Nothobranchius furzeri: one gene and its partner. The protein of the gene in region 1 purifies or fractionates together with the protein of each later gene. This does not show direct contact. Links are inferred from orthologs where the notes say so. Each region holds a gene or a part of one and is shown in the gene's direction. Other genes may lie near its edges.

Evidence for each region.
Region 2: the proteins of nherf1b (region 1) and phlpp2 purify together in Homo sapiens (co-immunoprecipitation; 3 studies listed by BioGRID and IntAct, with this or other methods). This does not show direct contact. The link is inferred for Nothobranchius furzeri from reciprocal best matches to the Homo sapiens genes NHERF1 and PHLPP2.

What each region holds. Positions count from the first base shown.
Region 1 is NC_091752.1:50,770,964-50,775,385, forward strand, and holds the start of nherf1b (Na(+)/H(+) exchange regulatory cofactor NHE-RF1), read left to right. Parts: upstream 1-1,464; 5' UTR 1,465-1,604; coding exon 1,605-2,255; intron 2,256-4,422. UniProt on the Homo sapiens protein: Scaffold protein that connects plasma membrane proteins with members of the ezrin/moesin/radixin family and thereby helps to link them to the actin cytoskeleton and to regulate their surface expression. Necessary for recycling of internalized ADRB2.
Region 2 is NC_091749.1:59,327,975-59,331,794, reverse strand, and holds part of phlpp2 (PH domain leucine-rich repeat-containing protein phosphatase 2), read left to right. Parts: intron 1-275; coding exon 276-422; intron 423-1,629; coding exon 1,630-1,860; intron 1,861-2,929; coding exon 2,930-3,132; intron 3,133-3,282; coding exon 3,283-3,343; intron 3,344-3,820. UniProt on the Homo sapiens protein: Protein phosphatase involved in regulation of Akt and PKC signaling.

The sequences.
Region 1 (4,422 bases):
AGTAGAAATAAGGCTCAGTAAGGTAGCAAAAGAAAACTGTAGTTACAGTTTAATATTAGCACAACATGTTTACCTTGCCCCTTTTAATCAAGTTTGCACTAGTTAGCACAGCCGTGTTCTGTACTCGCCTTCATAATTGTGCACAAACTGGAATATGTACAATTTGAATCCCTTTTCTTGTTTGCTTTATGGAGCAGATGAAAAAGTGTCGACAATACGATAATTGTCATCGACTGAAATTCTTGGCAAATTCCCAAGGGATCTGGAAAGTGTACTGTTCACTGCATGCATCCATGCTGACATCATTGTGAAGGGGAGAGGAAGTACCACAGCTCTCCAGAGTTCATTAATCAAAAGCGTTTGCTATCAAGCACAGGGTCTGTTTCAGGGCTTTGTCACTTTAAGAAAACAAGCTAGAACTGGCCACCCCTGCTCAGGCTGCTATAAGCTGAGAAGCTCCATCTGGATGGGGCTTGGAGTAGAGCCGCTACTCCTCCAGCAATGGGTCTTTCTTGCATGTGAAAGATGGTTTTCGTAATTTTCAAAACAGCTTGTTTTAGGCAAATTATTTCTAAAATCAAACACTGGCAGAAAACGCTCGGAAGGATTTTTTCCACGTTTGGAGTGTTTATAGAGGCAGTAGAGACCACACAGCCTAAAAGGAAGCAAATGGTGAGTTTTTCATAACATGCCCTATAAAGCAGCAGCATCCACCTTTATTCCTGGAACTAGTGGTGCGTTCAGTTTACCTCTGAAGTCTGAATTTGGAACTGGGAATGGTGACACACCTGAGTTAACTGCGTTCTGGTTACTGTAGTCAGCGATGTCAGGATTCCAATATTGGCGACGCACACCTCCCAAGTAGTAATTGTTTGTATACTCCTCTTAATAGCATGGTTTTAAGATTTGCGTTTAACACGCAAACAAAACTTTTAGTATGTTAAGCTTAGAGTTGCAAACACTACATTTAATATTGGTTTTAAACTATGTGTGTTCTGTTAAATAAACACATTTCACCCAAAAGTTACTGTTGTTGATAAGAAGAGCTGCCATTTTTGTTGTCGAGTTCGGAATTCTGAAATTCCTCCGAGTTTCTGACTGCGAGGTCCGACTTTTTTTGGGGGGGGGGGGGGGGGGGGGTTACAATTTTCCAACTAGGAAGTTGGGATTTCCGAGTTCCGAAGATACATCGAACGCACCATCAAACCCTGTTTCTGCTGAGTGAGGCTATTTGCTTTTACACCGAAACCTCAAAATGGCCAGAAACTCCCTTTAGGTATCACAGTAGGATCTGTTAAATGATAACAAACTATAAATAATTATAATAAACTGGTATTTCCACTTGGTGTTCTGTCCCGGTTGGTTTACTCGTCCTTCATGCACCGGTCCCTGAACGCACCTCCTCCTTCCTCAGGGTGAGTTCTGCACGCGGGTCAGGACTCTGGAGCCACCCGGAGGAGGAGGGTTACATCAGAGCGGGACGGGGTTGGGTGTTGTTTTTCACTCATTCTGGCACACCCTCCGTCCTCCCCAGCATCCTGCCCAGAGCCTCCAGTCGTTCCCAGTGAGACCGAGCAACAGGTAGAGCGGCAGCAGCAGCGAACATGCCGAGTAAGAAGCAGCATCTGCGGCCGCGGCTGTGCTCGCTGCTGAAGGGCGACAACGGCTACGGCTTCCACCTGCACGGAGAGAAGGGCAAGACGGGCCAGTTCATCCGCCTGGTGGAGCCGGACAGCCCGGCAGAGTCCTCGGGTCTCCGCGCAGGAGACCGACTCGTTTTCGTCAACGGTGAGGACGTGGAGACCGAGAGCCACCAGCAGGTCGTGTCCCGGATCCGAGCCACGGCGGGCCGACTGGAGCTGCTGGTGGTGGACCCGGACACGGACCTGCTGCTGAAGAAACACAACCTAAAGTGCCTGAAGGAGTTCGTCTCCGATGGTCTCCCGTTACCGTTCGAGGACAACGGAGAGGAGGAGGAGACGCAGGAGGACGAGGAGAAGAAAGACGGAGAGGAGGAGGTGATATTGGTGAAGGAGGACGTAGAGGTGGACGGGACTGAAAACGGGAACGCGAGGCTGGAGGAGGTGAAAGTTCAAGGAGAAGTAGAAGAAGAGGAGGAGGATGAGGTGGTGGTGGTGGAGGAGGAGGAGGAGGAGGAGCAGGCGGAGACACCCAGGGAGCTGACCCCCGTCCCAGAGAGGAACGGGGAGATCCTCGGACACGTGGAGGAGATGCTGAGCATCAGCTCTGAGAAGGTGAGTTGAGTTCTGGAAAAGTTTCATCATGTCCCGTCCTGGTGTCTCTTCCTCTTAGACATGTCCTCCTGAGGAGAATAGGTCCTCAGTGACAAAGACAACCTCAGTCTCATGTCCACAGGTCCACCGATGTGGATCAATGGCCGATACCCAGCTGGTAGAGCTCAGAGGAGCTAGCTCTCTCTAGGTTCTGTGTTTCCTTTTTGTTAATGGCCAAAGAATGAACAAACATGACAGATAACGTTAAAGAGGACGAACGTCAGCTGATCTATTGACCAGGCTGCTGGGTGAGAGGTTCAGGCTCGGGTCTGATGGCCTCAAACAACACCAGAACATTCTGGCCACAGACACATCTGTGTTTATCGTTCTGTCGTCAGCCTGCAGGTTCAGGCTTAGGCAGTGAAAACAAACTACATCAAATAACTAAAGCCTCCACTACAAACAGCAGGAAATAGTCTGGTGTCTTGTTTTATTCCCACTAGTGAGATCCCGTTATGGGATTTGTTTTTCAGCCTTTCATCTTGGAACATTATGGGGTGGGCTTCACTCAGTTGTCTGCTCTTATTTTCTCTGGTCACACTTGTGTGTGTGTGTGTGTGTGTGTGTTTAAATTCATTCAAACCACTTGAGGAAGACGCTCCGGTCAGGGACATCTGTGCCTCTTGCTGCGCCGCCTTGCGTGTTCTGGATGTTTACCCCTGAGGCTGTTTCTGTCTGAGTCCAACACATGTCCTCCCAGTGAGACGGGTAGAAGGAGCGTGTGAGACAGCAGATATCACAAAAGGGCAGAACCAGAACCTGCTGGGCTTCTTTTAAGTGTTTTTATACAATCCTATTTCTGCTTTGGCTTGGTTCACACAGAAAGGTAATCATCCCCACTTTTGATCCTCTCCTTCCATTCTATCTTAAAGACCAAGTTCACTGAGAAACTATTTTTTCTTGTTATTTTTATTTTTAAGATATGATCAGTTGTTCTGAATTTCACTTGCAGGCTGAATGTGAAAACAGTCTTTGCCGTGGAGAGTAAATAGACGAGGAAAGTCTCGTATTAGAAAAGTCAGACTTGGACTCCCCCATCTTGGCTCGTGACAGGGAAGACTTTTGTTGATTCAGGAGAGAGCAGAGCAGGTCTTGGCTAGTAGTAGCTAACCGTTAGCATAAGCAACTCGGCAGCACGGTAGAACTCCTCCAGGCTTGTGTTATTTGTAGAAGAAAAACGTTGCAGAGCAAACAGTCGGTGGAAGAGTCGCGTTGCTCTTAGCCAATCAGAGGTGAGGTGTCCAAAAATCATGAATAACGAGTAAGTCTCCAAATCCTGCCGTTTTATGCCCCCATTCCTCCGACTAACTTCTACTTCCTGAAACTGAAGCGCCAGAGCTTTTTTTCCATTGAGAACGATTCCTAAGGCATTGATTTATACCTCTTTAAAGCTGAGGAGGTCAGAGAGGTCATGATTATCCGTGTTACAGTTGAATTTAGATATTTAGTTACAAATAAGCACTTTTTTGAGTAGGAAGAAAGCAGCTTTTATTAAGTTTTGTTAAAAATTAGTACATACACAAAGCATACATCAAACGTAGACATTTCTGTCATCTTGTTTTCTCTTGACCTTAATGAGCCACTGGCAGCAACTTTAACATTACTTTTAATCTAGTTGCTTTAAACACATATTTATGTTTTTACATGAAAATGGTGACATTTTGCCTAATCTTGTGTTATTACAAAGCTTATGCTGACATTTTGGGTAGTTAGTTACTTTTAAACGCTTCAGAAATTCCTCCAAATATTTCTTAGTTTCTTCCTCAAACAACTTTTTCCTCCTCACCCAACTGTTAAAAGCTCATAAAAAGCAATTTAAGACACAGAAACCGCTGACATTTAGCATTCATCTTTATGAAGTGATGCTTTGAAGTAGAGGGCACTCGCTGCTTCTTCACATCCATCCTTCACAACAACAATGTAATGACAGCTTTAGCTTTTCTCAGTGCGAGCAGCTAGATTTGGAATCACGTTTCTGGTATTTAAGGGATTTTTTTTCCTATTCCTCTTCACATGGAAATAGCTGCAGCCCACGCGTGTTTGCACGCAGCTCTTGAGAGCTGCTGGGTTGTGTTGTTTGTCCTGGGGATACACAGCAATTGTTCTTGTGTTTACTCTCGATACTGTC
Region 2 (3,820 bases), on another chromosome or scaffold:
GTTGTGCTATATGAACCATTCTAAGTTTACATATTGTTCTCTATAAAAATAATTGTCTTTATCACTAATCTTTTTAATAACACATTCAGTCATGAACTTTGCATGATTTAATACAGAATAGAAGGTCTTTATCCTTATGCACACATAAGCATTCATTTATTTCCCTCTCTTGTTTTGTAACATTGCATCCTCGTGAAGCTTATCAAGCAATGATTAGTCCAAATCCAACAAGAACAATGGAATGAAGGAAGTGATTTTTTTCTTTCTTTCTTTAGGTTTTGTCAGCTGAAAAGTCTGAACATATCTCACAACCGTCTTGGTGTGTTTCCTGAGTGTGTGTGTGAGATCCTCACGCTGACTGAACTGAACCTCTCCTGTAATAATCTGCACACCATCCCCATGCAGATTGGCAACCTCCAGAGGTGTGACACACACACACACACACACACACGCACGCACACACACGCACGCACGCACACACACACACACGCACGCACACGCACACGCACGCACGCACGCACACACACGCACACACGCGCACGCACACACACACACACACACACACACACACACACACACACACTCACACACACACACACACACACACACACACACACACACACACACACACACACACACACACACACACACACAGAAAGCGAATCTGAAAAATATGAACCATTTCTTTTTTCTATGTTGTTAAAAAACAGAGAATGTCTCGACTATAGCAGAAGCTAACCCTTTGCATTAGAAACTCCACCACATGGCAGAACTCCTCCGTGCTTCTGTTATTTGTGGAGATTTTGTATATGTTCTTAGCAGACGCTTTTACCCAAAGCGACTTACAATTTTTTTTTTTAACTATACGGCATGTTGTGATCTGTGGGGGAAACTGGAGTACCCGGAGAAAACCCACGCATGCATGGGGAGAACACGCAACTCCACGCAGAATGGCGAGTTTTGAACCTGCGACCTTCGTGCTGCGAGGCAACAGTGCTAACCACTGCGCCACCATGCAGAGATAAAACATAATGTCAATTCAAGTTTATTTATATAGCGCCAAATTATGACAAGAGTCGTCTCAAGGCACTTCGCACAGTAAACATTCCAAAACAGTTCAGTATCAGCATTGCAGAGCAAACAGTCTGTGGAAGATGCATTACTGTTATCCCATCAGAGACAACATGTCCAAAAATCAGGAAATAAGACTCCAAGTCCGGTCGCCTGAAGGTCAGCAGTGATGTGGCTCACTTCTAGTTCCTGAAAATGGTGCACCAGAGCTTTTTACCTCTGAATACAACTGACATGGCATTCATTTCTACTAGAGACCACTGCAAATGTATTGAACAAACGAGTGTTTCACACTTTGAAAAGTTACATGTAGCAATGAAAATAATTAGACACAAAAAGCAGTATTTTATATGACTTTATACATATTTTGAAGGGATTGTGAGTCTCATAATGTCCAGTTTGTATTGCACAGAATTGAAATGCATGAGGTTGCTGAATTAAAGAGACCTAATGTAAAATGCTACAAACTAAAACAACTATAACTGCACATAGGCACATGCTGACATACTGATTATGTTCTAAAAAGGCATTCTCTTTTCTTTCATGTTCACCTCGTAGCCTGCAGACGTTATCTTTGGATGGAAACCACCTGAGCTCGCTGCCTGAGGAACTTGGTGGCCTTCTTCAGCTCAACAGCCTGGGACTCTCCTTCAATAACTTCTGTCACATCCCCGCTGTGCTGGAGAGACTGAGCGCAGTGGACAAGCTGGCTATGGCTGGGAACCGGGTGGACAGCCTGGAGTTGTCCACCCTGGTTAGAATGAGCCACCTGAGAAACATCGACCTCCGGTAACTTTCCTCCTTCGCTTCCATCCCTCACTTTTACAGCCGTGCTATCGTAACAGCATCGACCGGTGCATTGTTGTTTGTCATTTTGTGATTTTGAAACCAGCCGATGGATGGAAAACTTATTGCTGTCCTCTATGAGGTTTCTCTTTTTTACTTTGATTTTCCAAACCCTGACAGGAAAATGAATGTCCTGTCAAAATCTCCAGCCTGCACCTCCACCGTTTCTGCATTCCTTAACTCTCCTCTGAGCTTGTTTAATTTTTTAATCCATTCATAGACACCAGATGTTCTATGACCAAATGCTGTTTAGTGCATTGTTCTATTTCACACCTGGGAACTGCCATCTGTGAGCTCATTCGTACTCCTGCTGCTCTGGAGGTGAAACCAATGACCACTACTTTGACAGATACTAATCCTCCTTTGAGAGTTACGTTGTGGTTTGGTGAAAGCAGCTTGTATTTATAAGGACAAGGTGCATCTGTGATGGATTGGTGGGCTGGCAGTTCCCATAAAAGAGAAGCTGTTTTTAATTGACATGAGTTATGGGATGACAAAGAGCCTTGATCTCTGTCAGTGGAGATTCTCAGCCGCTACATTATGACCGCTTAGCTGAAATAAAGCCACTAAAACAGCTCTGACCACCTTTCAACCCAGTGACTTGTCGGGTGGGATCTCTTAGGGATTTGGCCTCGTTTCCCCATGAATCTGATCAATCGAGAAGAGGCTTTGTAAGAAATTGAATTATCTTTTGTCAGAGGATGAGGATGCTATATCCAGCAGAGCATTGAGCTGCTTTCTCTTCATGCATGAGTGCAACACGTTTGTTTGTGCACTGTAAAAAAAAAAAAAAAAAAAAAAAAAAAAAAATATATATATATATATATATATATATATATATATATATATATATATAAACATAGATTTTACGGTTAAATCTCGGTAGCTGACTTAACCGTAGTTCCATGGTAAAATAACGGGTGACACACAAAACATATACTTATTTCCAATTAAGTTACCCTATAATAAATTGTCTTTGCCTATTTGTTTGTGTTCTGCCTTTTAAATGTAGCCTGAATGGGCTTCGGTGGCTTAAAAGCGAGAACACTGAGCCGGTGAGCCAGGTGACCCAGATGGACCTAAGGGACAATTGTCTGGACACACTCGACTTGAGCTCCGTCTGCAACTTGGAGACTCTGCACTGCCAGCGAAACCAGCTGGGGACACTCACACTCAGCGGTTTCACACTGCGCTTGCTTCAAGCTAGCAGCAACCGTGAGTCAAACACATCAGCTAGCTTCTGTTATCACTTCATTGGCTGATTACCTCAAAGTTTCTCTCTGTTATAACTTTCAGTTACTGAGTTTATTTAACGTAAACAAAAAAAAAACTGTTCAAACGTAGCATCGGTTTATTATTTTTCAGGCCTTACAACAGTCAACGTCTATCCAGTCCCAAACCAGCTGACACACATGGACGTTTCACAGTGAGTTCTGACTGGGAATAAGAAATGCTCTCTCATTTTTTAACCCTCCCACTGTCTTTTTGGGTGACCCCGCGAGGAAAGGTGACCATTGAGCAGGATTGATGGTTTATCCCTTGAGGTCCACGTGGCAGGGTTGAGGGGGTGCTCACTCCTCACCCCTGCCACATGGAGCCAAGGGATAAACCATCAACCCTCCTCAATGGTCAACTTTCCTCACGGAGTCACCCCCATTAGGACAGTGGGATGGTTAAAGGGAAGCCCTGTGTTTAAAACTAAGGGACTTTTCTTATTTTTTTGTTTAAATATAGAATTGAAAACATTGATGGGGAAAAATCTCAGCCCCCTTTTCATTTAGACAATCTGCCTTAAAGATGGGGAACACTGAAAAAACATATTTTAATTATTATTTCTGATAACAATAGGTCACAGTTTTTCATGCAAGTTGAACATGAAAATAGTCTCCTACACCTATCTCCT